Linked DNA regions of Saccharomyces cerevisiae S288C. Changing the gene in region 2 together with the main gene of any one other region gives a genetic interaction. Each region holds a gene or a part of one and is shown on either strand. Other genes may lie near its edges. The genes, in order: MFB1, BCS1 and PGM2.

The links.
Region 1: mutations in BCS1 (region 2) and MFB1 together harm fitness more than expected from each alone (negative genetic interaction), as found in Saccharomyces cerevisiae (2 studies listed by BioGRID).
Region 3: mutations in BCS1 (region 2) and PGM2 together harm fitness more than expected from each alone (negative genetic interaction), as found in Saccharomyces cerevisiae (2 studies listed by BioGRID).

What each region holds. Positions count from the first base shown.
Region 1 is NC_001136.10:905,070-916,234, reverse strand, and holds MFB1 (Mfb1p), read left to right. Parts: upstream 1-9,382; coding exon 9,383-10,780; downstream 10,781-11,165. Other genes in the region: HTA1 (histone H2A), read right to left, coding at 307-705; HTB1 (histone H2B), read left to right, coding at 1,523-1,918; CRF1 (Crf1p), read right to left, coding at 2,733-4,136; YDR222W (uncharacterized protein), read right to left, coding at 4,934-6,181; GTB1 (Gtb1p), read right to left, coding at 6,797-8,905.
Region 2 is NC_001136.10:1,217,294-1,228,458, forward strand, and holds BCS1 (bifunctional AAA family ATPase chaperone/translocase BCS1), read right to left. Parts: upstream 9,244-11,165; coding exon 7,873-9,243; downstream 1-7,872. Other genes in the region: XRS2 (Xrs2p), read right to left, coding at 1-287; DXO1 (Dxo1p), read right to left, coding at 489-1,817; CTS2 (putative chitinase), read left to right, coding at 2,120-3,655; VPS74 (Vps74p), read right to left, coding at 3,819-4,856; FRQ1 (frequenin), read left to right, coding at 5,466-6,038; PHO92 (mRNA-binding phosphate metabolism regulator), read right to left, coding at 6,181-7,101; WIP1 (Wip1p), read left to right, coding at 7,464-7,733; ARH1 (NADPH-adrenodoxin reductase), read left to right, coding at 9,529-11,010.
Region 3 is NC_001145.3:469,325-480,489, forward strand, and holds PGM2 (phosphoglucomutase PGM2), read right to left. Parts: upstream 8,283-11,165; coding exon 6,573-8,282; downstream 1-6,572. Other genes in the region: SRT1 (ditrans,polycis-polyprenyl diphosphate synthase), read right to left, coding at 1-152; LAF1 (Laf1p), read right to left, coding at 524-3,028; YMR103C (uncharacterized protein), read right to left, coding at 3,578-3,940; putative protein kinase YPK2, read right to left, coding at 4,096-6,129; YMR105W-A (uncharacterized protein), read left to right, coding at 8,740-8,934; ATP-dependent DNA helicase YKU80, read right to left, coding at 8,977-10,866. UniProt on the Saccharomyces cerevisiae protein: Major phosphoglucomutase isozyme that catalyzes the reversible isomerization of alpha-D-glucose 1-phosphate to alpha-D-glucose 6-phosphate. The mechanism proceeds via the intermediate compound alpha-D-glucose 1,6-bisphosphate.

The DNA.
Region 1 (11,165 bases), 320 kb from region 2:
TTCCTTTGGTTGTGAAAATTTCGTCACACTATCAAAGTGAACAAAGCACAGAATGTGTTTGCTACTCAATCATGTTCAAGTAAGCAACAGTGCCCAATGAACCTAAACAGAGCAACAGAGAAAACAGGAAGACACAACAAAAAATTTATATCATGCATGACATATGTTACCGTTAATTATATACCCAATAAATTATATATAGAAAAATAAAAAGGAAAAACAGAAAGGTCTAATAGACACTTAATATAGTTACAATGGAGAAGCAGTTTAGTTCCTTCCGCCTTCTTTAAAATACCAGAACCGATCTTATAATTCTTGAGAAGCCTTGGTAGCCTTGGCAGACTTCTTTGGCAACAAGTTTTGATGGATGTTTGGCAAAACACCACCTTGGGCAATGGTAACGTTACCCAATAGCTTGTTCAATTCGTCATCATTTCTGATAGCCAATTGCAAATGTCTTGGAATAATTCTGGTCTTCTTGTTATCCCTAGCAGCATTACCAGCTAATTCTAAAATTTCAGCGGCCAAATATTCCAAGACAGCAGTCAAGTAGACTGGAGCACCAGAACCAATTCTTTGGGCGTAGTTACCTCTTCTTAGCAATCTGTGCACTCTACCGACTGGGAATGTCAAACCAGCCTTAGCAGATCTAGATTGAGAAGCTTTAGCAGCTGAACCAGCTTTACCACCTTTACCACCGGACATTTTATATTTTATATGTATGAAATTTGTTTGTTTTGAAGTTGTTTATTCACTGAGAAATAACCAAATCCGTATGATGATGTAGTATCAAGAAGAGAAGTACAGATTGGAAGTAAATAGATGATGGTTCAACAAGACCAGAAAATCTACAAGCTGATTAGGAGTCTTATTTATATATTTTTTAGGTCAAGACTTATTGCTAGTATTTACGATCCACTGGCTGGCTTCGTGAACGGGGAAGGGGGTGAGAAAAGATTTTGAAATCAACAAAGTGGGCAATAACAAATAACAGCATGAGAAACCACATATCTCTACGGGCGTTTCTTCAACAACGACGAGTTAACTATTGTGCTCTTTTTTTGAGCCACCAAATACACTCCATTCCAATAGCTTCGCACAGTGAGGCGAAAATTTTGGAACAGCGCTAATGAATTATTTGTGAGCTCGGCGAGTTCAAATTTGAAGAAAACGCGGTTGGGTCGTTAACTATGGTTAGACGCTCAATGTCGCCCGAAAGGGAAGGCTGTTCTCACTTTTTCGCGCGTTGCACCCTTTCTTCCGCGAAAAAATGAGAACGATGGATTTAAAATCAAGAGAATTGGCCTTAGTAGTGGCAAATACTACCTTGGTTGGTTATCTTGTAACGATTGGTAAGAAAGGGGCATCTCTGTTTTCTTGATGTATATAAACAACATGATTTGATCATCTCAGATGGTCAGATTTATTAAAGACGTTTCTCTTTCCGCATTTTCGATTATTGTTATATTAAATTTATCCTATATAGACAAGTCAAACCACAAATAAACCATACACACATACAATGTCTGCTAAAGCCGAAAAGAAACCAGCCTCCAAAGCCCCAGCTGAAAAGAAACCAGCCGCTAAAAAGACTTCCACTTCCACTGATGGTAAGAAGAGAAGCAAGGCTAGAAAGGAAACATACTCTTCTTACATTTACAAAGTTTTGAAGCAAACTCACCCTGACACTGGTATTTCCCAAAAGTCCATGTCTATCTTGAACTCTTTCGTTAACGATATCTTTGAAAGAATCGCTACTGAAGCTTCTAAATTGGCTGCGTATAACAAGAAGTCTACTATCTCTGCTAGAGAAATTCAAACCGCTGTTAGATTGATCTTACCAGGTGAATTGGCTAAGCATGCTGTCTCTGAAGGTACTAGAGCTGTTACCAAGTACTCTTCCTCTACTCAAGCATAATGAAATCACTTCCTTTGGTTATAATTAATATTATTATTTATATGGGTATATAAAAATTAAAGTAAAGTAAAAAAAATTGTATAATAGTTTAATAATTTTAATGATTATAAGATATTTACTCGGTTGTAAAATTGTGTTCTCGAAATTACAAATGGTCTCATAGAGGGAATGCGCTTATGCGGCAAGGCAGTTTACTTGTAAGACTAATTATAAGAAGAATAAATAGTGTTGCTTATTAATGACTCAGAAAAGTTTCCACATGATATTTATTAGCTTTCGAAACTTCAGAGCATTGGCTCGTGTGAACAATACTAGATTTTTCCTCAAATTTTAATTCGTATTGCAGTTGCTAACTATTACAATTTTTGTTTATTTTATGCCTTGGAGATTGAACCCTCTGTTGTGATTAACTTCCTGTAAAAACTCCACGCAAGAAACAAAATATAAAAATAAAAAAAAAATTGGTAAAAAAATGAACAATAGAATACGCACGTATAAAAAAATACTAAAAATAAAATAAATGCCACCGACTCTATAAGTACACAGCAATAGTAATTAAAAAAAGACAGATGTCGCTGACTGGATCGTCAGCTGCACTTCAGTATTCCTTGATCCTCTCTCAAGTGGATCCATCCATTTCGGCCCCTAAATTTTTCTCCATCTCATCATACGATATTCCAAGTTGATCTTCGCTGACTAAGTAGGTTTTCCTACTATTCTATGACAATTCAAGTAGTAAAGTGCTTCTATTTTTTCGCAAACGATCATATTTTCCTTTAAAAGACGATAATGATTCTTCTGGAATATCAAATAATCACTCGCCTATGAGCTCAATATGGCCATTGGATGCCTTCTCTACTTCGAGTCCGCCTATGTTTAGAAGGTCGGCTATCATAGCATCATTATCAAATGTTGCATCTCCTTTTTGATTTTCCCGTGAACTTACTGAGCTTGAGCATGAGCTCAAACTTTCAGGAGTATTTATGTCATCACTCAATGGGTACAGCGATTTTGTGCACAACCCATCGATAACACTAAACGGTTTATCACTTAAAGACCAAACGTATAACTTTGGTACTTTTATTCCAATTCTTTTAGAATCCAATATTTCGCAAGCTTTATGGCCAATTTTCTTCCTTTTTCGATCTGGGGTTGGTAAGCTCTCGTCTTCATCTGTTGATTCATCATCTCTATAAGTGACCTCATCAATGTTGTAATCACTATCATAACTATCATTCCTTGGGCCTTCCGAAGAACATGTGAGGTTGGATAAGTCTTCTCTTGAACTATTATAGAGGCAATCAATATCCTTTTTCCTTGTATTAATAGCGACGTTGTCTAGACTAAAGGTGCGATCAGGTCCATCGAGCTCTACTTCGTCGATTTTATGCACATGCTCGTTGAGATGAAAAAAGCTAGACACATCTAATGTAGAAAAATGATTGCATTCACTGAAATGACCATCATCCAAGTTAAGGGGCGTACGGTCCTCAAAACAACTGCTACTATATTTTTTTTCGAGTGGTCTTGGATTTTTCACTCCCTTATCCGTACCATCCATTGGTGTCAATATCACGGCCTCATCAAAGTCGACATCTGATTCCGTTTCTGGATATTGGTGTGTAATACCTCTATTATTATTTATCGATACTGTTTCGCAACTATCGATGTGGTTGTCTACTAAAATATCAACACCAATGTCCTCTTCATCTTCATTAGTTGTTGAAGCCGAAGGACTGTGGTATTGTCGGTGAGATTCACTTTTACTTGTTGGCAAACCGAGCAGTACTACAGCCGAATTCGCCCCGAAGTTTACATCGCGCTTATTACTGACATATGTAGTATTGCCAGCTGACGTGAGCTGGTCATTAAATATATTATCTGCTTCTGTCTTAGAGCTGCTGCCAAGAGACGTCTTTTCCTCTACCTCGTTGGTGTTTTCCTCCCTAGAATATTTATAAGAATTTTTTTTTTTCTGTCTATTACTACTTTCTGGTTTTAATCGTTTAGCACTAATATAGCTACTCTCAAAATCCGAGGCCTTACTTATAGAGGGGTCCCAAAGAGCATCAAAGCTGCCATCATTATTGGATGAAAGGACGACAGTTGAAGAGGACGACGAAAAGGAAGCAGCTGTACCTGTCTCTTTTGGCTTTTTTTTATTTGGACTGTGTGGCTTGCGCCGCACGGTACTGTTAACAGGCGCACTAAGCAACATTTTAAAAGACTTTTTTATTCCGTACTATACCGCTGCTGTTCAGTTAAATGGTAACCTTCTTATAACTTTCTAGTGACCGCAATAATTATATTCCTTCTTTTAAGAAATTTCTCGATACAATTATAGAGGGCTTTTGACTCATTAATCTTACTGGAACCATTGACAGATTAGTCCGAAGAAGAAAACTCTAAAAAATCCGCTAGTAAGATTCAACAAAAAAAAAGTCTGCTTGCTATGAAAGTCTGATTTCTAGAGTACACACCTCTATAGCTACACTCTCAACTGATTGCTTCACTTTTTGAAAGAGGAAGAAGGACAAGAACTGGATTCACAAACTCAACTACATCTCGGTTTATCCGTTTAGACCAAGGTTTTATATAAGGCGAGGTAGAGTTCGGAAAAGGAAACTTTCATCGACTTCCCTTAATGATTATTGATTCCCCTTTGCTTTCTCTCCCCAACATTTGAAATATGATTTCTTTTTATTTCGAAAATGCCATTCTTCTCGTTCCCGTGATGTTTTCAATATGCATGCGGCAAGGGGAACATGATATTTCCGTTCTATGGCTTACGCAAGTAAGAAGCATGGCGCAATGATGCAATAGTCCATGGGGGAAAGTGTGGCCTCAAAATGAAAAAAAAAAGTGATGATAAATTAGTTATTAGGTAGTGATTATGTAAAAAAATTCGATTACACATTAATTATTAGGTAAAGTTGGTAGAAGAAACAGGAGAGAAAAAGAAGAGAAAAAAAAGGACAAAAAACGAATTTCATGTGGAAGTGTTCACGCTTTTGTTCAACTAATGAAGGTGCTCTCAACGATAGAAATACCTTTCTCGTGCTTATATTTAGAAGGTTGACAGTATTGATAAATGAAAGGTTTGATGCTCACAATTTTCTGAGCTAACGACCTGACCATGCTTGGTAACTCACCGAGAACGTCGTATCGATTAACCAGCCTCAAGTCGTGTTCTGAAAATCCACCGGGGAACTTGATAGAGGTTGGATATACCCAGCCGCTTTCCTTATCTGTACTCGTAGCACGGAACCTAACATGACGTTTTGGGCTCTGCACAGAAGAACCAATAGATATCAGTTTGTTTTTTTCAGTAATTGACCAAACTGTTACGGTGACGTTATCATGATCTCGAGGAGTAGTGAATTCAATTGCTAAAACAGAGTAGTTTTCGCTCTGAAAACATAGGAAATTCCATTTACTGGCTGCTTTATTCGGCAAAAGACCTTGAACAGCGTCCAGATAAACGACAGGAACATCAGTTAATGAAATATTTTTATTTTGAAAGTCCCCACTATTGAGTTTTTTATCGTAGGAAATATTACCATTACATTTACCTCTGGGCACAAAAACATGTCTGATCATTTTGTCTGAGGAAACGAATTCGTCACTCATCGAGATTTGTTTGTCAAAATAATAATTGCAACCGTTGGGGTTCATCTTAAAACCTTGAAACAAATCCACCAACAAATCGATTTTCAAATTTTGAATTGTATTGTTACATGTTGGTAAATCACATTTGATAGATAACTGGCCAATGGAACCTAATTTTTCATTTTTGTTGCTCAAAAATTCAAAAATAACATTTCTAGAGACAAACTTTAATGGTTGAAATTCAGCTATGTCATCCAATTTAAAACTTTCCCAAACGTCGTAGTCAGTATTATTACTTTCTGAGCCAAAAACCTTGAAATTCAATTGGAAGCCTTTATAGATACCACCCATAACCGTAGAATACAGTAATTGAACAAATCCACACAAGCCTGTATGCAAATCTGTGAAATATAACGTTTGGGTCTCGACTCTGGTCTCCATCGATTTTTTCATCACTCTGAATAAACCTCTACCACCATCTGTCTTGTTACTTATGGTGTGTTGGTAGCCCGTTTCACTATCATTGTGACAATACCACTCCAATGGTTGGATGTCATTAATAAGAGTATAGTTCTTACTCTTACTTACCGGTTTTTTGTAATCTACCTCTTTAATAGGCGCAAACTTTATCTTATCACTGCTCGATTCAAGCATCACTAAATGAGTCTCTATGTATGTACGATGTATCTTATACGCCCTCACTGTCAAGAAAAGACAATACGAAGTACGGCGGCAATTGTCACTCAAGAAATTTCTTCATTTTTATATGACTATACATCGTAAACTCAAGCCCAGAGAAGTGAGTCTCCAGTAAACACTGTTCGTTATATCCATCACATTTAAAATCCGTAGGCTTAAGATTGCCAAAACATATGCATACAAATTCCAGTAGTAAACATGATTTTGGAATTCACTGTAATAATCTGTGAGACATCTTGGAAACCGGAAGAACAAAGATGAGAAAAAAAAAAAAAAAAAAATAAAAGCCGCATAAACATCGGCTAGACGGAAAAATTAGCATTACGTCTATGACTTAGTTCTCCGAAAAAAATACAAGCCGTGTGGGGTGATTACGCCGTACCCTTCTTTTCGCGTTATTCCAACAGGTCGTACAGAACTATCAGTATTTGGAACGATATACTTATTTATCGTCTTTTCGCGTTTTGGCCGAGGGAAATATTGCTTTTGTTGCGGAAAAGAGTATCACGGCACAGCATCGGCCTTCCTAGTTGTTTACTTACTAAAAAAGCCTAACTACTCATTTTCCAGTCATTCACTTAAATTGAACTTAGGGGGCTCGTATTCGAAAGTCTTGTTGCAGCCTAGAGGACCAACGACATCGAAGATGTAGTTGCACTTAGTCGCTTCATGTACACTCCGAATCTTGAATTTGTCGCTGCACCGAACAAATACAGTAGCCGATCTGCGCGGACCATTCCAGCACTGGTCTCCATTTTCGTATTCTAGTACCAGACCATTATTCAGTTCGTTTAAGTTCCCGAATACGTAATGTTGCATGTTACCGTCATCGTCCTGTATAGCTGCTAAGTTTGAAATCAAATCACTCTTCTCATCATATGTGGCCTTTAAATGTTCTGCGTATTTTTCCATGTTTAAGTCAACATTAAAACCTGATGTCTTAAAACGACCGATCAAAACTTTTTTACCGTCAACCTTATCCTCAGCTTGATATATGACACCTTCGGTCATTGGACGTTGAAAGCATATAGTGTACACATAGTTGTCCAGTATGTCGTCAAGACAATAGGATTGTGATCCCATTAGTTCTAAAAGCTCAGTCAGATTTCCTGCAGTAGAATTAGTTCCTTCATCTTCAGTTTCATCTAATAATTTCTTATAGTCCATTTTTTGCTTTAATTCATTCTCCAGGAGACTGACTTGACTTTCACAAGAGCGGAATCTCTTCTCTAATGAGACCAAATCTTTTCTAGATGAAAAAATATTCAGCTTAGATAGAATCTCTTTGAGTTTATTGCGCAAATCTCCAGAAGTACCGATATGATCGCTGTTCGTATCTTGTTCTGACTCAACAGCGTCTGGTGGCAATACCTTTGGTGCATTCTCGTTCACAAATGATGTTACTTCGCTCAACGATCTCAAAAGGCTCTCTGACGGGTGAGCTGGTTCTAATTCAGCCAGTTCGCCGTATTCACCTAGGTAGTTTTTATACGAATCGACAGCACTTTTGACCCCTGCATCTTGAAAGTTAACATTGTAATTCTGAGAAATATCATCCATAATCAAACGGAATTCTCTGATATACTCCAAGATATCGTTGGTATAGTTAATTTTACCCTCCACTAGCGCTTGAACAAAATTGGATTTTCCTATGACGTACCTCAACGTGTTCTCAGATTCTCTTTTCAAAAAAATTTGAGGTACTTCTTCTGTAAAGTACAAGTAAAGATTATCTGCCTGCTCATCATCAATTTTGCTATCTGCATTAATTTTAGCCTTTTCAGCCCGTCTTCTAACTTTTCTGAATTTTTTAATATTATCATTGACAACTTTATCATTTAGCGAGGGAGTATAGGCCTCTGATAAATCACTTAAAATCTTGAATATGTCCTGGTAACCTTTACTTACTCTTGAAACCATAGTGAACGATGTAAGGATGTCCGATCCCAAACGAGTACTGTTTAATTGTTCAAATTGATACAAAATGGGATCATGGCTTAATTGGTTAAAGTACTCGCCTCTCAACTGCTCTAATTTGGCTCGATTTTCTGAGAGCCTGTTGGAGAGTACTTTTATCTCGGCAGAAGCTTTTTCCTTATCTTCTTCTAAGCAATTACCACGGGTGATAGCCTCTTCCTTTGTACCGTATTTTCTTTCCAGTTCTTCTAGGGCCTCTTTACCTTCCCGGTAACTTGATAACTCTTTAGAGGCCATAATGTCAAATTCGTTTTTTAACTGAGAACAATTAGATCCAGCATCAAAGAGCTCATATCCAGAAAGTAGCTCGTCAGAACAGTCACAGCAGTCACAAATACCATCTGCGACTTCCGATTTTCGTATATATCTTGGAATAAACCCCTTGTTATCACAATAAAAATACTTATTCACTTTACCACCTCCCTCTGCAACGCTTTTGAATATATCTTCCACGCAGGCGGCGCTGCCGGGCTCATCTGAACCATCAGGACAATCACAAACCCCATCATTAATCTGGCTTATATCCAATACGATATCTTCGTGGTTCAAACAGTGCCATTTAGTCAAATCTGGTTCATTCGAGTCATACAAGTGCTGCTTTTCCCAGGGAACACCCACTATATGCCGTTGACTTTGTTGCAATGACGCTACAAGCGGCGATTGCTCAATTAATAGCAGAAATAATGAGAACATGCTCACCATAGCGAATCTTCTTAATGAAATAGCAGAAGTGCCTTTATGCTTCTTAAATGCAGTGCGGAAGCCTCTGCTTCTACCATAACATCTTCCAACACAGTCTTCATACACTATTATTATTCATTTTATGGCCGGGTAAGTATTTTAAAAGGCATTGGCAATACCCGTTTTGTTTTGACCCAAACAACTGTTTATCATTATTCCTGGTGCTGTCTTCTTAGAAACTATAAACGCTTGTGCACCTACCCAGTATTTAACCAGTTGGGAGGAGATAACAATATTTACTTACTTTTTCACAAAATAGGAAAAGGAAAGTTATACTTTGCTATAGTTTAAACAAAGGGAAAGTTTTCAAATAACCAAGGAGTCTCTGTTACTACTTGCTAAATATCCTCATACAAAATATCAAAACAAATTGGCCAAACTGCACAAGGAAAGTTCACTTTTGTTCCAGAATTAGTTATAGTTCCTTCAACCACATAGATGACATTATTTTCTTGTAGTGTACAGATGCCGCTGGAGGAAAGGTCCCTGACAAACTTACCATTAAACCTATTGTTCCGAATATTGTCTCACCTGGATATGAATGATTTACAAAACATAGGGAAAACTTGCACCTTGCTAAGGATGCTGGCGAATGAGAACATTGTTTACAGAAATGCTGTTATCGGCTCAAACGGGAATATGTGGTGGACAAAAAATGTTCTTGTTGATGTCTTTGATGTTTTGAATTTTAATAGAAAGGCAATGAAAACCTTAAATAGTCACAACATATCCCTGGTCGCATCATTAAGAAATGTTCAGCGGAAATATAAACTAGGCGTTATTGATCCGGCTAGAAAGACAATAAGTTATAGAACAAATGAAGTTGAGAGCAAAGAAAAGGGCTCTGTGAAAGATTTAAATATGGATTTGAACGAACCTACAGAAATAACAAGGGAGCAAATCGCTCATACTGCAATACTACAAGGAATGAATCAATTCATCGAACTCAATGATAAAGCATTTAGGACCCATTCAGCGGATTCTGATGATACATACATAGAGGAGAATAATGGAGAAATACATTCTCTCCACGGATTGGAAAAAAATACAACATTTGAAGAAGACTTAGTCAAAAAGCCACCTTTTATCCCTTCTCCGACATTTTCTAATTATTCTAGAAGTTCAACAAATTCTGTATTTTCAAGTTCATCGCCCAAACTACTGGACGATGATTGGAATAATATTACAATGGATTTCACTAAGTCACGAGATCCTGATTATAAAGAGATGACGCCTACATCTACTGAATCGTCTGACTCAATCACAAGATTGAGAAAATCTAATAAAGTCAAGGATAAAGCCGAACTTTTTGAGAAGTTAATTTTTAGAGATAGCAGACCATTAAAAACAAAGAAAAAGGACAATCCAAGATTGAAATTATCCAGTTCGTTAAGTGCTAATGACGAAGATTTTAGGAAAATCATAAGTCCCCCTTCTGACATACTACCGAAAGTTGGCAGAAGGAGCGTCTCAAGAGGTTATTTAGAGGAGATTGAAAGGCATTATCCCGATTTTAACGGTGAAACAACTAATCCTCTAGCAATTAAAAGAGTCAACAGTACAAAGATAGCAAATTATGAACAATTAATTATAAAAGAAAATAGCTCGAACTGTAAAGGAATAACAGAGAAAAATGATGAAAATAAATTTCAAAGAAGTCACACTTCCCCAGTAATAGAATTATCCAAACCTCATCAAAGAAGCAAATTAAAGGCGGTTGTTACAGACGGTAATAAGATATGCTATCGCAAAATCGAATTGGATAACCCTAGTGGGTCGAATACGAATGATCATGTAATCAAACGGCTTGACGCTAATACCGATTTTAATATATAACAGAAAACGCCTCAAACCGACTTTGCTTGGAAGAGTTTTCTCTGAATTAGCAACGGAACTTCGAAATGGTTTTAGACAAGCATGCATGGTATGTAGAAACAGTTAAAGAGCGCCGCTACCATTTGCACAGATGTACATATAAATAAATGACTTATTTTTTATATTCTATCAATAATAAGACAATTTGTGGTTGCCTTTAGAAATTTCGTGGCTTTTTTTCATATATTCTAACTTCAATAAAGTTTTTTTGATGCGAAATTTGATCGCTCATATTAAGGACGCCTGAAAAAGACATGCGTCTACATTTTGTGTCATTCCCATAAGAATAGTAAGAACAGGCATTTTTATAAATCGATACAAAAAAAGAGCTACTATACGTACATAA
Region 2 (11,165 bases):
TCCGAGGCATTAATAGTAAATGTTTCGCCAACTTTCATGAATTTTTTATTTAATGATGTCAATTTACCCTTGTTAACTAAACACAGGCTACTGTGTTTCAGATCCGAACTATTATTGATTTCCCATTTGAATGTGATATGCTGTCTGGAAATACTTTTATCATTTTTAATTATCAGTGGGTTTTTACTTGATCTACCTATACTATAAGTTTTGAAGGCCTGAAGACAACATGATATAAAGCTAATAGAGCCATCTTCCAATGTATTCTGGTATCGTACTACCCACATAAATTTATAGTTATCACCTTCTCAGTATTGTTGCTCATCTATTACAAAATTCTGCTTATTTGGTTTACGCATTGCTTTTCATAGAAAAAAAGGGCTCCCCATATAAATTTAAGAAAAGTACTAATATTTAGCGTAGTTAACAACTTTACGAAAATGAAAATGAAATATTTCTCGGAAAAGTATTATATATTATACACGTCTCTACATTCCAAATAATTCTACGTTTCTTGGAGTAGTCTTAAGTTTAGTGATGACGATGGCGTTGTTAGTATCTATACCGATTTCAAATGATTCTGGTTTTGTACTGCTATAGTCAGAGATATTTGCCTCCACCAGCTTACAAATTGCTTCAATACAATAATGACACCATTCTACCGCAATTTGGGCATTATAGTTAAGTTCCTTTTTATTTGTAGGTAGACCTGGGTGATTGAATTTCTTACATAATAAGTCCCTTGAGTACCATTGAATGTCTAGTAATTGACCGCTATGACTGTCCCTCAAACCTATCATGATATCTGAGTTCGGTAATAAACCCGTCTGTACCCACGTTTTCAGAAGTTTTCTCCTATGATTGGAATTGTGCATTGATAATGGGGCAAAACACTTTAGTTCTGTGTTTGTCTCCGAAACAGGATTGAATGCATCCATTTCGCAGCGAATTAAAAGACCAATTTCTTCTGAAAGTTTACTCTCTACAAGAGAAAAAATAGGACATTTAGAGCCAGTTAAATCAGCGACTTTGGAATTTTCGGTTACCCAATTTTCAAATTCAAATCCTGAATAGCAAATTTTCTTCATATTTGGATCATTTGAATAAATGCCCTCTTTGGACATTTGAGAATCTTTTTTTACATTTCTGCAAAATGAAAGAAGGCCCGCCCCCATATAAGTTACAATTAGTGACGTTTGTCTATTTCGCCTGTTAAAGAGATGCATAGTCAAATCTACGATATGATGTCTTGTGGTTACAACAGTAAATTTCTTGCCGATCTTAAAATCCTTACCAGGATTATCTAGTATCCAGTTCTCAATGTATGAAAAACACGGTGATACACTATCTAATTCGGATATTGTCATGGGAACGAACTCATCAATATTAGCAAATAAGTCATGGCCTAAATACGGGACTTTCCGCTTTTTTGCCTCAAGAAGCGAGCTTTCATACAATTCAGCAATACTTTCTTTCAAATTTGGTATAAGGTCTTTGCGTAGGATTGTATAAGCCCGGCCATTGGTAAACAGAGCTACTTCTTTACTTTCATGAAATATATCTCTTGGTGGTTTCGTCAAAAAATTGTGCATACCAGTATGCAGAAAAGACGTATATGGGATACATATAAGTTTCGGACGTCTCTTTCTATAATTGTCTCTCTGTTGTGAAGGCTTCCTTGACGAAGATGAATCAGAAGTAGTTTTCTCTTTGCATAATTTACTTTGGTGTCCTCTCTCGAGATTGGGCACAGTAAGCAAATTTATACCTTCTAAATCTTTGGCCAATCCAAGAACAGCATCTTGTTCAGTTGACATAACTGAGTTTGGCTAGAAAGAAAACTTTGACATAAAATCATCGATACCTACAACTGGCGCTGTAATGCAACAATGCCATTATAAAAGTAAAACATGCTGCGAAAATTGCGGAAAAACTGGAAAAATCAATAGTGGGGTAATCCCAGTTAGTTTGACACAATAATTTGGTGATTTTGGTGGAATAATCATTATTTGTGAGGATACACCAACGAAAAGAACCTTTTGTGGTAGTATGGTCCAACAATTGTATTTGCAGGTTGGTACTAACAACCTCTATAAGTAGACGATACAAGAGTGATCATATGGTAGGACACTCAGCTCAGCACAGATCAAAAAGCAGCTTAGTGTCTCACCTACTAATACTACTTATCTTTATAACGATTATTATTGAAATGTGTTTATATAATAAAATTTTTAAGAACCAAAGGTCGGATGATATTAGAGACAACTTTAACAATGGCGGACATCGAGTTCCCAGTAATGTCCAAAATCATGGAACCCATATAAGAGACGAAGCCTTTATATCAGGGGTCTATTATTCCAATTGGTCCCCATACAAACCGAGGTTTCATTTCCCTCACGACATAAACTTGAAGCAAGTGTCTCACATTTACTATGCATTTTTCAAAATAAACTCTAGAACTGGTGGTATAGAAAACACGGATAGTTGGTCTGATCTAGAAATGAATTTGTATAAATCGCTGGCAATTAAAAATTCAGAACTAATTAAAGAAAGCTCGAACAATAGTGTCCAAAACATCCTACCCTTAGGTTGCATTGGTGAACTATTTTATTTGAAGAATACCTGTTCTGATAAGAAATTTAAAGTTATCATGTCAATTGGGGGCTGGTCTGATAGTGAAAATTTCAAAATCATAATTAAAGATGATAAACTCTTACAAAATTTTGTTGATTCGTCGGTGGAAACAATGTTCAGATTAGGATTTGATGGCATTGATCTAGACTGGGAGTTCCCTGGTAACAATGAATCAGAACCTCGCGGATATCTGAAACTGGTCAGAATGCTGCGATTAAAACTAAACAGCCTCGAATCCCAAATATTTGGGAAACGTACTGAAGATCATTTTCAATTATCTATTGCGGCACCTGCATTCAAGGATAAATTATTTTACTTGCCAATCACAGAAATTGATCAATATGTTGACTACTGGAATATGATGACGTACGATTATTATGGCTCGTGGTCAGAAACAACAGGATATCACAGCAATCTATTCAGTGAGACGGAATTGAATGGAAACTTTGCCATGCATTATATGATCGATAGATTTGGCGTCAATTCTAGAAAATTAGTACTGGGAATGGCCGCCTACGGAAGAAGTTTCCATATCAAAGATAACAAATTCGAACCATTCAATCAAAATACTGTATTAATTAACAAAATTTTCAAAGGAGTGGGCAAGCCCACTAAAGAAATAGATAAAGCTGATGGCAAGGAGGGCATCTGGCCTTACAAAAATTTACCAAAGATTGGTACAATAGAACAATACGATCCAAAATATGTTTCAGCATATTGCTTTGATGAAAAAAATTCAATATTTATCAGTTATGATAACACTAAATCAGTCAAAACTAAGGCTGAATATGTGACACATAACAATTTAGGCGGAGGCTTTTGGTGGGAGTCATGTGGTGAAGCTTATGCAAATGAGTCAAGGTCGTTGATAAACGCATTTAATGAAGGCTTGCACTTTAATGTGTCATCAAAACCATCAATATTTCAAGATGTGAGAGTTAAAAAATATTACTTGAATAAATATGGCGATGGCGGATTTTTATCTCCATATTTAAAGCATTTGGATTCAAGAAAGCAATGAATACGAATGTGGGCGTATATAATAACAAAAAGTTTGGTCTATTTATTATCCACTCCGTATATGTATATACATATATACAAATTTCGTTTATTAATGTTAGAGGCTTATAAAAAAAAGCTTGACTTTTCCTTATGTTTCAAAGAGAGGATTTTTGTTGTTATTTTCATAATAGCATATCCATTCTTGAAAAGACTTCAAATACACCAGCAATAACTTCCAATTGTAAATCATGACCAGGATTGTTTTCTATCTCTTCTTTAACTTCCTTGTTTAAATTAACGGAGACACCTAACTCAGTTTCCTTTTCTAAATCAAATGGGTATTGCGAAAATTGTGCCATTATTTCTTCAGCTCTACTAATTGCCTTATCTCTCTTCTCATATTCCAACGTAGTCAGGACATTCTCCAATACGTTTGCCCCATATGATCCACATATTAAAGCTAAAGTTCTAATGATTTTGAAAGATGTTGTCTCCGGAAAATATTCATTGTAACTTAATTCCATGTTCCTCGATACGAGTACAGAAAGTACTCTGCGCTTAATGGCTTCTTTGCAGCTGGCGTCTGCAATGGGGTGTGTCGCCATGTCAAACAAAAAGAAATTTTTCATTTCTGTTCTCAATACACCTTTATCGACCAAACCTTTTGCCAATCTTTCCCTTACTTGTTTCAATTGATAGTTGATCTTTAAAAGGTTCCATGTTTCACCACTTAAAAGATCAATCCAGTTAGAAATTGACAAAGGTTCGTCGTTTTTCATCAATTGCAAAGTTTCATCCAGTAAAACTTCCCCAGTTTTGGAACTGTCAATAACTTCAATCAACCTTTCGGAAAGATCGAACCTTTTCCTGGCGGAATCATCTAAGATTCTGATTTTACCTCTTAACGCTAATTCTATAATTATACAACCACGCAAAGCATATGAAATACTATCATTCCAAAACGACAAATATCCTTCTCTATCTCTTAAGCCCATCAATAAGACTTCTTCCATCAACGTTAACGTAGGGATATTGATGTTGTCTCTCAATTTCGATTCTTCTGGGTCATATGCAATCTTTTTGTTTGTTCCATTGTCATCATCCCCGTCAACAGCAATATTTGCGATTTTGTCTCCTTTGGTATTGTTAGCAGAAGAATGAATGGAGGAAGTATCTCCAGAATCCGCCCTATTGACTCTACGACGTTGTAAAGTAGACATGATTTTTGCTTTGTATTTTTTTAGATAGTTTTTGTTTGAATTCTTTTACGTTATCAGATCAAAAGTTGTAATGAAAATATAGCCAACAATGAAACTGCTAATTTAGCTCTATTTGTTAGCGTGGAAATTTGAAATTTATTTTTAATCTATAAATGCAGCAGCCCAAACCGAAACAAAAGAATAAGTGAGTTGAACAGAGTAAGCAACGGGCCGATATAGAACTGAAAAAGTCAACGTACCCAGAAAGCAATTAACTGCGACACAAATAGATGTCAATGTCCAAAAAGGATAGATAAACAAGATTACGATCCAAGGCAGGGATCTAATTGTTTTTAGGTAAATGCGTACCCATTAGCCTCTTTTTTTCAGTAGTAGTTGACTGCTCAGGAAGTAAAAAAATGAGCCAGAATTGATCATTAAAAACGAAAAAAGGGTAACTCTTCGGTGTATTTTTTATTATTATACCATAGAGTACTGAAATAATGTTTAATTTGTCAACGATTGAACTGATGAACTAGGGATATTACCTCCTGTTTTATAATTGTTGCTAGTTTAAGAATCGGCGAGAGTTATTTTGTGCTTGAAAACTGTTTTTGATTCAAAAAAAAAATGGGAGCCAAGACGTCAAAGCTTTCCAAAGATGACCTGACATGTTTGAAACAATCCACCTATTTTGATAGAAGAGAAATCCAGCAATGGCATAAAGGATTTTTGAGGGATTGCCCTAGTGGCCAACTAGCTAGGGAAGATTTTGTTAAGATATACAAACAGTTTTTTCCATTTGGTTCTCCTGAAGATTTTGCTAATCACCTTTTTACAGTTTTTGATAAAGACAACAATGGATTCATACATTTTGAAGAGTTTATCACAGTTTTGAGTACAACGTCCAGAGGAACTTTGGAGGAAAAACTGAGCTGGGCTTTCGAACTTTATGATTTGAACCATGATGGATATATTACATTTGATGAAATGCTAACCATTGTGGCGAGTGTTTATAAAATGATGGGGTCTATGGTTACACTTAATGAGGATGAGGCAACGCCCGAAATGAGGGTAAAGAAGATCTTCAAGTTGATGGATAAGAACGAAGATGGTTACATTACGCTGGACGAATTCAGAGAAGGTTCTAAAGTCGATCCCTCTATTATTGGTGCCTTAAACCTTTACGATGGCTTAATATGAAAACTTTGTTTTTGCTTCTTATGGATTGGATGTTATAACAGTAGAAGTAATTTTAGGATAATTTTAAATAAAAATAATATTAAAAATAATAATAATACTAATAATAAATGAGAATAAAATGTTGATAAATGAGGGATAAGGTCTATTCATACGTCTCATCCAAGAAGGAGAAAATATCAGAATCTTGAGTTTTAAATAGATTAATTATTGAAATTCCAATCGAATATGGAATTTCTTGAGTATCTCTGGAATGTGTTATCGGTTTCATTTCATTGGATGGTATCAAAAACCTTTTTAACGATCTGTTATTTATATCACGCACGATCACCCATCTTACTTTAAAGGCTTTGCCATATTTTTGTTCATCTTCCCATATACTGGTGTCCAAATCCATTTTCAAATCCGATACCATTTCTGCAACGCCACAGAATCTTCCTGATGTGTTGATTGAAAAAAATAAAAACACTTTGGCTCCCGAATTAAGCTTTTTATATGCCTCAGATAGCCTTTTGTTGCCGAAATGAGTAGACGACCAAATTCCGTTGTAAAACGACCTTTTGACATGCTTCAAAGACGAGGACTTTATTACAAAAAATCTTGAGTTTTCTGGAATATTTAACCAAGGGGGAATAATTGCAGCACTTTTTCTTTTATTAATTTCATTGAAAGTTTGTTCTTTAGTTGACTGCTGCAAATACCTTGGTTTGGATAAATATTCCCTGTAATAATTATTATTGCTATTATCAGATTGGTTGTAGTCTCTAGAAAAGGAGAAATGCCGATTTAAATTTGAGCTTGTCAATGGAATACTATTAATCTGGTGTGTATAGTTTTCATGAGTGATCTCTTCTTTATTTTCTTTCTTGTTAATATCATTTAAAGCTGTGACATCGTTCTTTAGCTTTGGGTTTGTTTGTACTTCAATATGAGTTCTCTCCAAGGAATGGATCAACCCATCTAGTTCTCTTAAAGAGTCTTCAATTGTCCTGTCATTTCTCTTATTTTCTTTCCATTCAGAGTTGAAGTAAAAATTTGGGGGACCTGTAGACCAGATTTGATTCATTTTTAGAGCACAACGCAATACTTACGTCACACCAGCCGTAGACGATATCTTCCTTTCTTAACGAAATAGTAACAGAGGACACAATCTGAAAACTTCTTTTGCGATTCATAACCAACAGAAAATTTTGGAGGAAAACAATGTAGCTGTATAAATATATATATATATATATGTATGTATACTTATTTATTTATATATATATCACAAAAGGCTACCAAAAAGATTAGCCGCCGAGGTACATCGTGAGGAGTGATATTCTGGGGAAACGGGTAGCGATTTCGTGTCTATTTTCGGTCACCAAGTCAACGTTACTTACTGTCGTATAACCAAAGTACAACAATAGCAACAGTTCCTAACATTCTTCCATGGATACGGAAGCATTGGCCAATTATTTGCTACGGCAGCTTAGTTTAGATGCGGAGGAGAATAAGCTAGAAGATCTTCTCCAACGGCAAAATGAAGATCAAGAGTCTAGTCAAGAATATAACAAGAAATTATTATTGGCATGTGGATTTCAGGCCATTTTAAGAAAAATTCTGCTGGATGCTAGAACAAGGGCAACTGCAGAAGGTTTGAGGGAAGTATATCCTTATCATATTGAAGCTGCAACGCAGGCTTTTCTGGATAGTCAATGAAGGGGTATTTTTAAGCCTCTTTATCATATACTCTTTTGTTCGTAATAGCAAATAACTCGGTCTTATTAACGAGAAAAAGTTAAAGCATCTTCTGAATTTTTATTATATACAAGTTATGTAGTAAGGCGCCACTTAGCACCTAGAAAATATGATTAGCGTTCCGTAAGCTGGAGACCATTTTCAACGCATCGTGTGGTGCATCTTTATTCATAACGAAAAGTCCTTGCAACTGGGCGGTACTTACGGTGATATCCAATTCTTTAACACTATTTACAAACTTTTTGCATATATCAGTCTCACCTGGGTAAAATTTCATAAACATTTTTTCTACCTGGTATGGAGTTGCGTTACCAACGAAGACTTTGTAGTCAATACGACCTGGTCTCATTATAGCCGCGTCTAGCTTTTCAGGATGATTGGTAGTCATGAATGTAATAGTTTCTTCAGAAGATGTGACGCCATCCAGGGCATTCAGTAAACCGCTAAATGTTACGCTAGAATGAAAACCTTGTTCACCAGTTTGACTTCTTTTGTTGAACGCCGCGTCAATATCTTCCAGTAATAGTATGCTCCTTTCTGGCATGTTATTCATTAAGTGGTTTAATCTGTCATCTGTTAAATTATTTTCGGAGAGGTTTAAAATACAAATGTTGTAGTCTAATTCGCCCGCTAAAGCCTGGATAAAGCTAGTCTTACCAGATCCGGGAGGGCCATAGAGTAAATATCCCCTGCGATATGGGATACCCCTGTCAGAGTACCATTTGCCGTTCTTCATAAAATCATAAACGTCATCGAGAATACCCTCTTTGATGCCACTGTCCAAAATGACGGAGGGCAGCATCCTTTTAGCTTTTGGTTGACCAAACTTTCTCCATTCAGGGCCGAAAGAAGTGTAAATAACAGTCTTGCCCTCAGTAGTCTTCAGGGCTATGTCTTTAGCCTCGTTCAAAATGTCATCGAACAAATGTTTGTCACGGTACAGTGTAGTTAAGGTTACGGTCTCAAATGGTGACCCGTTTGCGATATCTATCATTTTTGCGGACCTTTCTCTTTTAATCAGGATAAAAGCACCCTTATAACGAATCCAATGATTTCCCGGACCCGGAACCAGCGAAAATTTTGTACTAACTGATCCATTGTCATGTTGTATGTAGTTTGTCCTAACGGATAAGTGTCTAGATACCCTTTGAGGATGTTTGGCCATCCATGTTAGAAACCAGGCGTATGATTTGTCCTTCGACTGAATCTCTAAGTCGACAATCATTTGTCGGTATAGGACCCTGCTGGCTTTTATTATACCGGATCTAGCTACAGCTAAACCTGTACCAAGGATCATAAGACCACCGCCGGCGGCAAAATAGGGATTGTTTGACATAGCATCGCCAACTAGTTTTGAAAGTTTTTCCCGGACTGAGTCATTACCAGTTTCATTTGTTGGCGGAGTAATTACACCACTCAGATTTGGAGTAGCCTGTTTATCATATTGTATGTCAATCGGCTTATCCGACATGGTAGATTGAGGGCACACTTCATTTTTTTTCAAATCGTCCCTTGGTACGTCTACTGCGTTGCAAATATAGAAGAGTGGAAATCTTTACTTATACTATTTACATCGATTTTTCGGCACTCTTTAAGGGTAACTCAATCGAGATATAATTCGAAGAGCAGTAAACTATAGCTCGAACGTAACAGAAAGTTTTTTGCTTGCTATAGTTCTTGGCCACAACGCCTCATTCATTCATTTAGAAAGTTTCTCACTCTTTCTTCTTCCTTTTTTAGCTCATTACTTGTGAAAATGAGCTTTGTTCAAATAAGGCACATTTCTTCACAAATAAACCGTAAGACTGTATCCATTGTTGGATCGGGGCCTTCCGGCTTTTATACAGCGTACCATTTACTCAAGAAGTCACCGATTCCATTAAATGTTACTATATGGGAAAAGTTACCTGTTCCTTTTGGTTTAAGTAGATATGGTGTGGCACCTGATCATCCAGAAGTCAAAAATTGTGAAGAAACGTTTACCACATGTGCAGAAGAGTTTTCTTCCCCTACAAACCAAAAGCATAAATTTTCCTTTGTTGGTGGTATAACCATTGGAAAAGAAATATTGTTGAAGGAATTGCTGGATAATCAAGATGCTGTTATTTTAAGTTATGGTTGTACAGGGGACAGAAAGCTGAATATCCCTGGCGAACTCGGAACAAAAGGGGTGTTTAGCAGTAGAGAATTTGTCAATTGGTACAATGGTCATCCTGATTTCGCAAAGGATAAGCGATTTACCGATTTTGACTGGAGCAAAGTTTCGAAAGTTGGTATTATAGGAAACGGTAACGTTGCTCTTGATATTACGCGTGTACTTATTTCTAATCAAATTGATGAAATATGGGAAAATACGGACATCTCATCTCTTGCACTAAATTTGCTAAGAAGGGCACCTGTAAAGGACGTTAAGCTAATTGCACGAAGGGATTTCGTTCATTCCAAATTCACCAACAAAGAATTAAGAGAACTATGGGAGTTAGAAAAGTATGGCATACGTGGCCGTATTGATCCTAAATTTTTCCAGAAAGAAATGTTTGACCCATCTAAGTACGATCGTGCATTCAATAGACGAGTAGAGATGTGTAGTGAGTATCTCAAGCCATTTAATGAACGTTCGAAGAAAAACTATAAAAAGGCTCCTCCTCCAAGCAGCGGATATGACAAATTCTGGGAGTTAGATTATTTGAAGACTCCCTTGAAAATTAATAGAGACGATTTTGGTGCAATCAACTCTTTGAGTTTATGTAACAATCGATTAAATGAAGATAACAGTTTGCAACCCTTGAAGGACGTCAATAATATTATGACATATAAAGTGGATTTGCTGATTACTTCATTGGGATATGCAGGCGTTCCCATGCCTGAATTCTCTAAGTTGTCTATTGGATTTGACAAAGATCATATAGCTAATAAACAGGGTCGTGTTTTAACTTCCAGCGGAGAAATATTCCCACATTTATATGCATCTGGTTGGATCCGTAAGGGCAGCCAGGGCGTTATTGCCTCGACAATGCAAGATGCTTTTGAAGTTGGAGACAGAGTAATACAAGACTTGGTGGTCAGCGGAGCGCTATCCTTAGAGAATTCTATCGACCTCTCTAATATCAAGCACACCACATGGAAGGATTGGGAAAGAATCAACAAGAAGGAATTGCTTCGGGGCAAAAAGGAACACAAAACTCGGTCAAAGTTTTTAACTTTTGAAGAGTTGTGGAACGGTGTAGAAGGCATATAAAATAGATCGTTAATATATTTCTAACATCTTCTTGTAAATGTAAATATTTTAAAAGGGTTGATCTTATTACGGAGAGAACCAATCATATCGAAGGATTTCTCAATAGTAAGTATCCCGCGCGTGGTCCTCGGGGAAATAGAACGAGAAACTTCAAG
Region 3 (11,165 bases), on a different chromosome or scaffold from region 2:
ACATAAAACCATGAAAACAAGCTTAATGACATAACCCACGCAAATACTCTCTGAAATATACTTTTCACTGCGAAGCACATCTGTTCTTTGGTTTCTACCAAAAGCCTTTTTAGGGCTACAAACTGAATCTGAATAATACTGGGCATTTTCATTATGGTCAACAGAAACGTCCTATGTTTGAAAGGCAGCCTGTTCTTTATAAGTTGATAAATTGAGAAAAGTGCACCAAATCTTAATCTACTCTGTGTGTATTTTTAGGTCCCTTAAATAACAGAAAAAGTATAGCTTTAGCCGCCGAGGTCCACTCAGTTTGGAGTAGTTACCCTTAACAGGCACTCACTCCGTTTTGTTCTTTCGAAGAGATACGTTATAGTATATCGGCAACAAATGATAGGCTCATTGTTAGCGTTCATTAATTATTAGATTAAAATTTATTTAAGTGTATCGTGTTTCTTTACTTTATGTACGAAGATTAATATGCATTTAAAGGTATCATCCACGGAAAAAAAATACTCCATCAGCGTTAGCGGAAGTTATTAACTACTGTACCGCAGTCTACGCAATAATAGTTTCTATCTTGTTGGTCATTAGCACCAGAAAAAGCCTCAAACCTTGAACCGTTACAAACATTGCAACGGATAGGTAAATTCATTGCGCTCGTTGGAGTGGTAGGCCCATGTGCATTGGAGAAAATAGATGACATGCTTTCCCTTGGTGTTCTTGGCTGTGCATTACTGCCGAGTGTTTTTAGTGATGTACTGCTTTTGGGACATATATTAGAGTATCCACGTCCCGTTGCATAGCCTTTTCCAGTATTAGTATACGCCGCTGCCGGTTGGCCAGCCAAGTTTGATTTCGCTCTCGAGTTGAAGCTTCGACTCAAAGAATGCAAAGAATCAGAACTGTTAAACCTTCTCCGAACCTCTCTATTGTATTCTTCTAGTTTGAGTAACACGCGCTTTCTTATAACAGAGGGCATATCTGCTCTAAACACACGAATAGTCCCTACGTTATCAGTACTGATCAATATCGTTCCAATTGCGTCAACGACATCTGGGATAGCACTGGTGGCGGAAGCATTAGAAATTGAGCCTGGTTTAGAATTGTAGCCCAAAGACGACTCTACATCTGACATTATGCCATCGTCGTTACTCCGACTCAAAACATCGAAACTATCGGATGTCTGAAAAAACTCTAGAGATAGCTCGCAGATAACATCGTTAGACAAAGATAATGTTTTCGAAGTTTCTGGCGGTGCAATGCTAACACAAGTAACAGGGGCATTGTGTGCATGAAAAGAAATGTAATCCGTATTTTTGATATAATGATCGTTGCTATGATGAGGCAAGGGAAGTAAGTTAGTAAGTTTTAAATGATGATGTGGTTTTTCTTCGTTATTCTGGCTGGAAGACCTACTCATTGATTTACTAAATATGCTTCTCAAACTTCCGGACCGAGCCAATCCCTTTGGTTTCCTTTTAGGTTCGTCTTGATCATTCTCTCTATCCGAAGACTTTAACCTCCAGCCGTAAACCCAATGGTCATCACTACTATTTACAACGATTGGCTGACCATGCCAGATGGACAATTGTGCCTTGTGTTGGGAAGATCCGCTATGGAAGCCTTTCAATACCTCTAGAAGCTTCCTCTGTTCTAAGTCAAAAATTCTTATCCTCGAATCATTCGATGTAACTACTAAGCGGAAAGAATTGTCCAGTTGAGATCTAAAAGCTTGCAAACCCGTCACACGTGGACCATGACGAATTTTTGAGTCAGTTTCCGTGACCATGACGTGAGCGTTTTGTTCTTGTGTTTGTCTATCAGCTACGTGAAATGAAGAAACTGGAGTGAGACCTCTGGTCATCAGAATATGAACGTATCCATTAAATGTTCCTATTATAGTGTATTTTCCCTCCTCAGGGGATAATGTAACAGATGTTATTAAGTCTTGACAATCGTACTCAAAGCTAACTTCATCATCCAGTATAGACCATAACCTGCATTTGTGATCCAGACAGCCGCTAATGAAAAATCTATCGTCGGTGGGGTGAAATTCCACACAAGTGACAAAATCAGGATGTATGAATGTCTTAAGTGAATTTTTCCTATCGGGATGCCATAGTTTTACTGTCTTATCCATCGATGCTGACAAAATAAAATTATTTTTAGACCAATTTATATCCAGAACATCTTGCACGTGTTCTTTATACAGTCGCAAAGGCGTTGGGTGAAAGACAGGCGCATACAAATTCAATAATTTTTCCTTCTCTTCGTATTTCTCTGTAGCAGAATCCAAAAATTGTTTTTCTTTTGGATTGTTCAATGAACTGACCTGCTGTTTGATCCGCATCGACTTGGCTCGTGCCTCTTTATTTGATTCCGCACTCGAGTCCAATTCGGCTCTTTCAACTGGAGAGCCAATAACTTTCCATATTCTTATTTTACCATCTTTGCTACCAGTGGCCATAAATTTTCCATCGCGGCTAAACTTTGTACTCCATATAGCTTTAGAGGTTGGTTCAGATGATTTGGAAGTGGAGGTAACCGTTTCACCTTCGTAGGCCATTAGTTCTTGCGCGAGAAACAATCTTCTAAATTGTTTCAGGTTTTTCCGACGTTTCAACATTTTAATGTATTTTGGCTCTCTCAAATAGTTTTCAAATTGCTCTGTATCAATGGAATTGAAAGGGTAAAACTCATTGACCCTAAGATTCGAATTTAAAGTATTGCCTCTCTGTAAATGTTCCTTTAGTCTCATAAATGAATCAGTGGCGTTGCCGTTGTTACTATATTTTAATTTGTCATTTGTATTATTAGTTTTTGTCATTCTGAACTTCAATGGCTCGATATCTGCAGAATATTCAAGATTTAGTTTGCTTTTACTTTTACTTTCACCGGAACTGGACTCGCCGTCGAAGCTCTCTTGATGCGACCGACTCTCCTCTTCAGATCCAGTGGTATTCGAGGAATTGCTGAATTCAGAATGTACCTTGCTTATACTTGTTTTATCCTCCGCCATATTCGTCATATTTCTAATTCTCGTACTATATTATACGCCACTACCGTATACAATATGCCAAGAGCTCAGCAACTGCTTTCTATTCTTTTTCTTTGATTGTCTTTGTTCCTCTTTTCCCTCTTTCTTTTCCTCCTCTGTTTAACAAGTTGGAGAGAGTTGCAGTCTTGTTCCCTATACGGTCCAGCTGTGACTTGTACGAACGCGTATTGTATCCCAGGAAGAAATAATGATGTAACTCGCTTACGAAGCTTAAGAAAGGGCAAAAAAAATGTGTCCCCCCTAACTGCGAAAGTGAAAAAAAAAAAAATTAATGCGTTGAATTTACACAGTTCTATGTATAATTAACTGCTACGATAGAAACTGGACAGTAGTAAGAAAGATTGGACTAGGCATCACCCAGACTTTACTTTTTCGGCATACATATCTATTTATATATAGTTTAATACGTAAATACAAATATATATATACTGTAAATTTTAATCATTAAGCTTTTCTTTTTTTTTTGTTCACGCTTTCACCCTGTGAGGCGAATGAGGTTAGCTTTTTCCCTTTACGGGACTAGGTAAGGCTCCCCATGGCTGAGCCCGCGCAAGGAAATCCAGGATCATCCGCGGAAGAAATAAGCTGCTCCCGGCCCAGACTATGTAAGAAAAGTGGCAACAAACAGAAAAGCGAATCTTTCCTTTCAGGCAATGCAAGGGTCCTTTGCCGTTTGGCGAATTCCGGTAACCTCGACTTGCGCCCCGCGGGCTTCGCTTTGACATCCGCGGGTATAAGCGTCCGTCCTTCGGCCGACAACAGGTCGGTCTTTGATCTCAATTCCGTAGATGGAAGAATTCTGATAATGCTGTAAAAGAAATGAATAAGCAACATAAGTCGTGTGAGAGTTGCTAAAAGAAGAGCGCAGCCTCTGCGGACCATTCTATTTTCTGTAGTTCTTCTTGTCCCCGTTAACCACAATAGTAACGGAGTGCGTATCGCAATCTACTTGAACTATCCATTTTTGAAAATTGCAACCTCTTGCGGCTATAGCTATAAATTCCGTCCGGCTCGGCTCGGCTTGCTTCGGCTTGCTTCTAACTAATGCTTCTCCCCTGCGAAGGAGAATCACCCAACTGTTCGTCACCAATGTACGTCCACCCACCAAACTGCTTTTGAATACTTGCACTTAAGTACTCGTCCACTACACTATCGATCGGTTTTTCCTTAGTGAACTCTTGATCAAAATTTGCAGTATCTATTTCACTCTTTACAATTGGCTTGTAAGGCGGAATATAGCCCTTCAAAAGTAGCTTTTTCCATGAGATGTCTTTAAAGAAAGGATGGTTACGAATTTCATCTGTACCGTTAACGCCGAGTCTTCTGCTTGGGTCTCTGCTTAAGAGGCCAATTAATAGGTCTTTTGCCGCAGGGTCAAATCCATCAGGAAATAGTAGCGGTTGCTGCAGAATTTTCTTGTACATAACAGGAACGTTCTCATCATAGTATGGTGGCAGCCCTGTCATCATCTCATACAGTAAGATACCTAATGTCCACCAGTCAACTGTTTTAGTATAGCCCTGCCCCAACAAGATTTCTGGTGCCAAATATTCGGGAGTACCACAGAAAGTGTCTGTTTTGTCATTATCCTTCATGTTCAGCTTGCAAAGCCCAAAATCACACAGTGCAATATGTCCTTGGTAATCCAATAGAATGTTTTCAGGCTTTAGGTCACGATAAATGACGTCAAGTTTGTGTAATGAATCGAGAGCACATAATAGTTCTGCAATATAAAAACGGGAGCGTGCTAGACTGAATCGTCCCTCGTGTTGTAAATGGTAGAACAGTTCACCGCCATTAATGAAAGCTAATACTAGGTACAACTTCTCCGGAGATTGGAATGAGAACTTCAACGGAACAATAAAGGGGCAGTCAACTCTTGCTAGGACAGTCCTCTCCGCTAAAGTATGTGTCACTTCACATTTCGATACAATATATGCTTTTCTCAGAGCCTTCAAAGCGTAAATCTTTTGGGTATCTTTTTTCCTTACTTGCATCACTTTGCCGAACGAACCCTTCCCGATAACCTTCAATAGATCAAAGTCATCAATGGAGAGAGGCTTGTTCTTAGAAGGTTTGTAGTCCACCGTGATATTTAATTTACCATATCCCCTTTCTAAAGAAATCCAATGGTGATTGTATAGTCTTATTTGGGCTGCAGAATCGATTTTTAAATTCAAAGGTAAATGGAAGGAGTCCAAATGGATATCCTGATTTGTATTGATTTTTTTTAAAATCTCCTTCAGTACTTCGTCCTGCTCGCCAATCTCCTGTTGCCAGTTTTTAGAGGGTAAAAGTAGGGATGGAATCCTTGCAAAGACATCGATTTTTAAAAATCGTAATTTTCTTGTTACATCAAATGTCGATATTTTGTTAAACACTGGTTGCTCCATCGTTCCCATATCTGGACTAATAGTAGTAATAGAATTATCAAATTCAATTGTAAAATAAAGTAATGGGCTTGAATTTGTTGACCCAGGTAACAATATAGAGGAAGGAATGAATTTAGTGGCAAAAGCTCTATCTATCAAGCCTTCCCCTGCTGAATCTTGATCCACTCTCTTGTATCGTGGTAGCTGCCGCATTATGGCTGCAACTTCGGAAGCGTCATTGGATGATGAAGTAAGGATGCCGGAACTTAGTAGTTTTTGTAAAATAGTAGAGTTAGAGGTGATAGGGAAGGGAAGAGTAAAATCTTTACCAGAATACACCTTCACTGTCATTAGTCCGGATTCCGAACTCGGTCCCTGCGTCTCAGTAGACGACTGACTAGCTTTCCTTTCGGAAGCCTTAGAATTGTCATTTCCTATCCCCGATGGATTCTTGAAGGATGCATCATTACGTAATTTTGGAGAACTTAAGGAACTTGGGAGAGTCTCATTTGTATTGATCTTTCTTATATGGTGTTCGTGTTCATGATTATGATTCTTCGGGCTACCATCGTGATGTTTTTCTCCATGGTGGAAATGAAACAGGCCATTACCCCACGATTTTTCATTTTCATCTTCACTACTCCCATCATCTTCTTTGGACCTTCCTAACTTAAACTTGGATATTCGCCAGGAATGCATGTTACTATATGTATATTTGTATACGCGATAATTTGACCCAGTTGAACAATTCTGGTTTAGGAGCACTTTGGCTGAATTTTATCATTTTATTTATAAATCTAAGGATGACGGCCATTTTACAGATTTCTCGAGGGAAATATAATAAAAAACTCGGGGTAGGTAATCTGAATTCGGGGATACGCTAATTTGGGAAAAATTCGTGAATTAGATATAATTAGAAACAGCACTTATGAAGAAGATACTGCGATTAACCAAAATATTCTCCTCCTTATGAAAAAAAAAAAAAAAAGACTCAGAAACCTATGCAATCGTTTGCTAATATGTCGAAATATGGATCTATTAAGTATATAAAGTATGTGTTCAAAAAATTGAAATTTTCTTCTTTACCGTTAATATTCATTGAAAAAGGTGAAAATCATTAAGCCATTAGTAAATCATTCGTTTTAAGTACGAACCGTTGGTTCTTCAGTTCCTAAAACTTGTTTAAAGTTCAAGAACTTGATGACCGAGTTAATAATTGGCTTCAAGTATTCTTCAGCTGTCTTTTGGTATTGTGATTTATCATCGCAGTATTTTTCAATGTACAATCTAATGGTAGCACCTGAAGAACCTGTACCTGACAATCTTAGAACGAATCTTGCACCATTGGAAAGCTTGACATATAAACCTTGATGGTCAGAAACAGAACCGTCCAAATCTGTGTATGAAAAATCACCACAATCGGTGACCTTAAGAGACTCATCGGCTGGGAAGGCGGAATTAACAACACCCGATTTGGTAACATATGCTCTCAATTGATCGACAATCTTGTTAGCTTTTTCTGTTTCAACTTTTTCAAAATCATAACGAGTGAAGAAAGTACGGCCGTACTTTGCCCAGAATTCATTCTGTATCGTCTTAATAGAAGCTTCGTTCTCCGGATGATGCTTGTTGTAAATGGCCAAGATGTTCAACCACGCCATAATGGCCCAAACACCGTCCTTTTCCCTTACGTGGTTGGAACCAGTACCAAACGATTCTTCACCACAAATAGATAATTTTTTAGCGTCGAACAAAGCACAGAAAAATTTCCAGCCAGTTGGGACCTCATAACAGTTTAGACCATGGGCCTTGGCAACACGGTCTATGGCTCCTGAGGTAGGGAATGAACGGGCCAGACCATATATACCTTGCTTGGCGAAATATGGGATTTCAGCTGCATATTCGGCAATAATTGCGACGGAGTCACCTGGAGAAACGAAAGATGGGCCGTAACCGTAAATCATATTTCTATCACCATCACCATCGGATGCAGCACCAAACTCAATCTTTTCACGATCTACTCTTTTCACTAACGAACTGGCATAAGTTAAGTTTGGATCTGGATGCATACCACCAAAATCCGGAGAAGGATGCCAGTTTTGTAAAACCTCATCCGCCGGTAAACCAAATTCATCAACGAAAATAGCCTTACCGTATGGTCCAGTTACACCGTTCATACTGTCAAACAGTAACTTCCAATTCTTAGTAGAACGTTGATTATCGATGAATTTCTTGATTAAGTCGAAATCGAAGATTTCCTTCAAGAAGTTGACATAATCTTTTGTAATATCGATAATGTCAACGAGTAATGGACCGTATTTCTTGTTCTTGCCTATCGTACCCAAGTCTAGTTCTGGGAAGTCTTTGATAATCTTATAGCTGGTAAGCTTTTTGGAAATCTCCCAAATAGCATTTGTGACGGATTCAGGAGCAGGACCCCCATTGGATAAGTTATACTTAATACCCATGTCATTTTCTGGACCACCTGGATTATGTGAGGCGGTTAAGATAATACCACCAGTACATTTTTCCTCGTAGGTTCTCATGATGTGAGAAGCGGCTGGCGTAGACAGAAGACCATGCTGGCCAATAACTAACTTTTTAATACCGTTGGCAGCACCGATAGCGGCAATCTTATGAAGAATGACATCATTGTAGTAACGCCCATCACCACCGACAACAAGAGTGGCACCTTTAGAACCCTCTGGAATAGCTTCCATGATCGATTGAATGAAATTTTCTGTGTAGTTAGGTTCGTCTTTAAACACCTTTGTCTTCTTACGCAAACCAGAGGTACCAGGCTTTTGGTCTTCATATGGTTTGGTGGGAACCGTTTCAATTTGAAATGACATGTTATGTTAACTTTTGTTACTTTTTTTACTGAGAAAGATTGGTTGATCTTCTTCTTATTATCCTATTGTTCAAGCAACGCTGAAGAAAGACATGGAACACTATCTTCGAAAATGAAACAATATTAACGGTACCTTTTTATATTTCCCACATTGTTCGGGCGGCAGTCATCCAGATTCTGAAAGAATCAACTATTTCTTTTACACTTTTCAACCCCTGTTTGTTCCTGGAACTGCACATAACAAAAGTATAACGTCCCCTTTCACGTAAGTTCCCCACGAAAAAAGTAGTGCGCGACACCACCCCTTTTCGTGAGCTCCGCGCTTCTCTTCACCGAGCCTAAGTTGGGCCTCTCCCCCCTAGAAAGAACAAGTTGGCCCTGTTGTCCTTAGCTCGCAAGCTCAGGGGCAGCAGCGTGTGTTGAGATTAGAGAACCGCTCGACCTCAACGGATGATAGTATGATTTTAGTACATACAGGGAACGTCCTCTACCCACGTTTTATTGTTGTTGCATTTACTTTTGAACAGCGACAGGGGGGAAGGTGTAAAGGAGGAAAAGCAACCTGCATGGCTAGTGTTCAAAGTTACAAGGTAACAATGCAAATCAGTAGTATGACAATTATTTACCCGCTATTTATTTTTTTTTCTCTTTAACTGTGGTGACGAAAACATAACTCAAAGGATGTTAGACCTTTTTTAATTATTGCTATTGTTTGGACTTCCCCTACTGTGTTGTTCACCGCGCTTCAATAGCGTTTCTAGGTCCGGGATCTTTTCCCTCTCAAGCTCAGTTTTTAGTTCGGAGTCGAGTTTTAATTTGTCTACTTTCTTGATGCCGAGCACTTCAACCAATTTTGTGCTATCAAATTTCTTGTGCGTGTAAGGACTTATTTTGTTTTTCAATGAGTCAGGAAGCTCTGGGATTTCAAATTCCCTGGAATCATTGATCATCAGTTGGTGAATCCATTCCAGTAGCACCTGTTGTTGCCTGTAGACAAAAACCGTGGGTATTCTAAGAGGATCCTTTTTGTTTTCCTCTTGGTCTTTATTTAAAGAGGGAAGTGGGAGAGTGGTGTCTGTTGTTACTTCGCCTATGGGTTGATAGTAGTTGCCTAACGGAATCTCTGGTAGCTCATCTGTATCCATTGAATCTACAAATTGTTCCATAAGCTCATCGATTTGATGCCCGTCTGTTTCCTTTTTCAGCGGTACCCCGGATGTAGTTGTTCGATCCAGAAGTTTTGGAAAATCAGTTACCCTCTCGTCTTCCGCGAATGGTAATCTACACAAGGTAAGGCTCTTAACAAACTTCTTCTCGGAATTAATGTTACTGTGCTCAATTAGAACGGGACACAATGCACACATATTCACTTCACTGTCTTTCTTGCTCACATATCTTGCAACAGCAATTTTTCTATTTTCTAGCATAACATCCACTAGAGCACTGAAAGCCATTAAGTCAGATTGACAGCCAAGTCTTGTGTCGGCGGTAATGAAGGAGGATTCCGACGTCAAAAAGTACCTTGGAAGAGCTTCTCTATTCAAAAATCCTCTTAAATCCAAGCCTGGAAAAGATTCATATACAGTTTGATCGACTAGAACGGACGGTAGCACTACGTAGTCTGCACCATAACGGTATGCCTTCGTTACAGAGTCTTTGGAGATGGTCACGGGAATGTATGACGATCCAGACTGGTCATCTTCACTGACATTTTTCTTATTTCCTTCGTTGTGAATTTCATATTCGATTATGGATTTGACCCCCACATACCTTTCTTTCTTCTGGGAGTCTTCCACCTCAACAGCGGTTTTCCTATTTAAGCCTGAAACTGCTTTCGTAGCAGGAAAAGCCTCTACCTTGATACATAAGCAATTTTCATCTTGCATGCTGCCGCTAGGATTCGATGTTTGTGTTGATAATATATCTGCCCCTAACCTAAGCTCGCCTGAGAATACTCTTACTGGCTTAACGACAGATGTTGCTGGGGAAGTGATTTCAACAAGAAGTTCATTCATATTGTAGATTCTTGAATTCGGTATCGCTTCGACCAACTTTAACCAGTTCGATTTTTTCCTCTCCTCTTGAGTGTCTTTACCGCAATCAATCAAAATGATTCTTGTGCTTAATTCTTCCGTTAGCAGGTCTATTTCTTCATCAGTAATATCCAGATCATCTAAATTGTCTGTAAATACAACAATTTGTTTTAGAATTTTTCTTGCTTGAAATTGTTGTTTAATATCTAATGAGACGACCAACAGACATTGAATCATTGATTGTAAGCCTTCATTCGAACTATCATGACTGTGCTGATCACAATATTGTTTCAGGCGTTTTATAAACCCAATGGTGGCCGTCGTGGTAACAGGAGCCAAAAAGGATTGTATTTGGAACACATTTGGTATTTCCTGGGAATTCTCAGATACGGGACAATTAGCGAGATAACAGCTTATCCAATCTGTTTTTCTACTTTTTTTAGATTTGTTTAATAGAGTGTACTCTAGATATGCCATAGATTTGGAAACATTATTATTTTTCATCATTGATGGTGAAACATCCACGATGAAAGTTGTTGACTCACTTGACATTATTATGGTGTGAGATATATTATTTGTGCATATGTCCTGCACTCTCGTTAATTAGGTTTTCTTCTCTTGATGATGCCCTTTTTTTTTATTCATTTTTTTGCATGACAACAAATGCCCTGACGGACATGCGGTAATCTAGTTGAAAAAATAGTCAAATTGTGTCGACACTGTAAAAAGGTACTTCCGCTAATAGACTACAAACATTACTCCAAGACCAGAAACAGAAATACGTTACAATAGTGTTGTCGAATCCTGGCAATGGTAAATTGTTTTTAACGCCCTCCAACTGCTAATCTTTG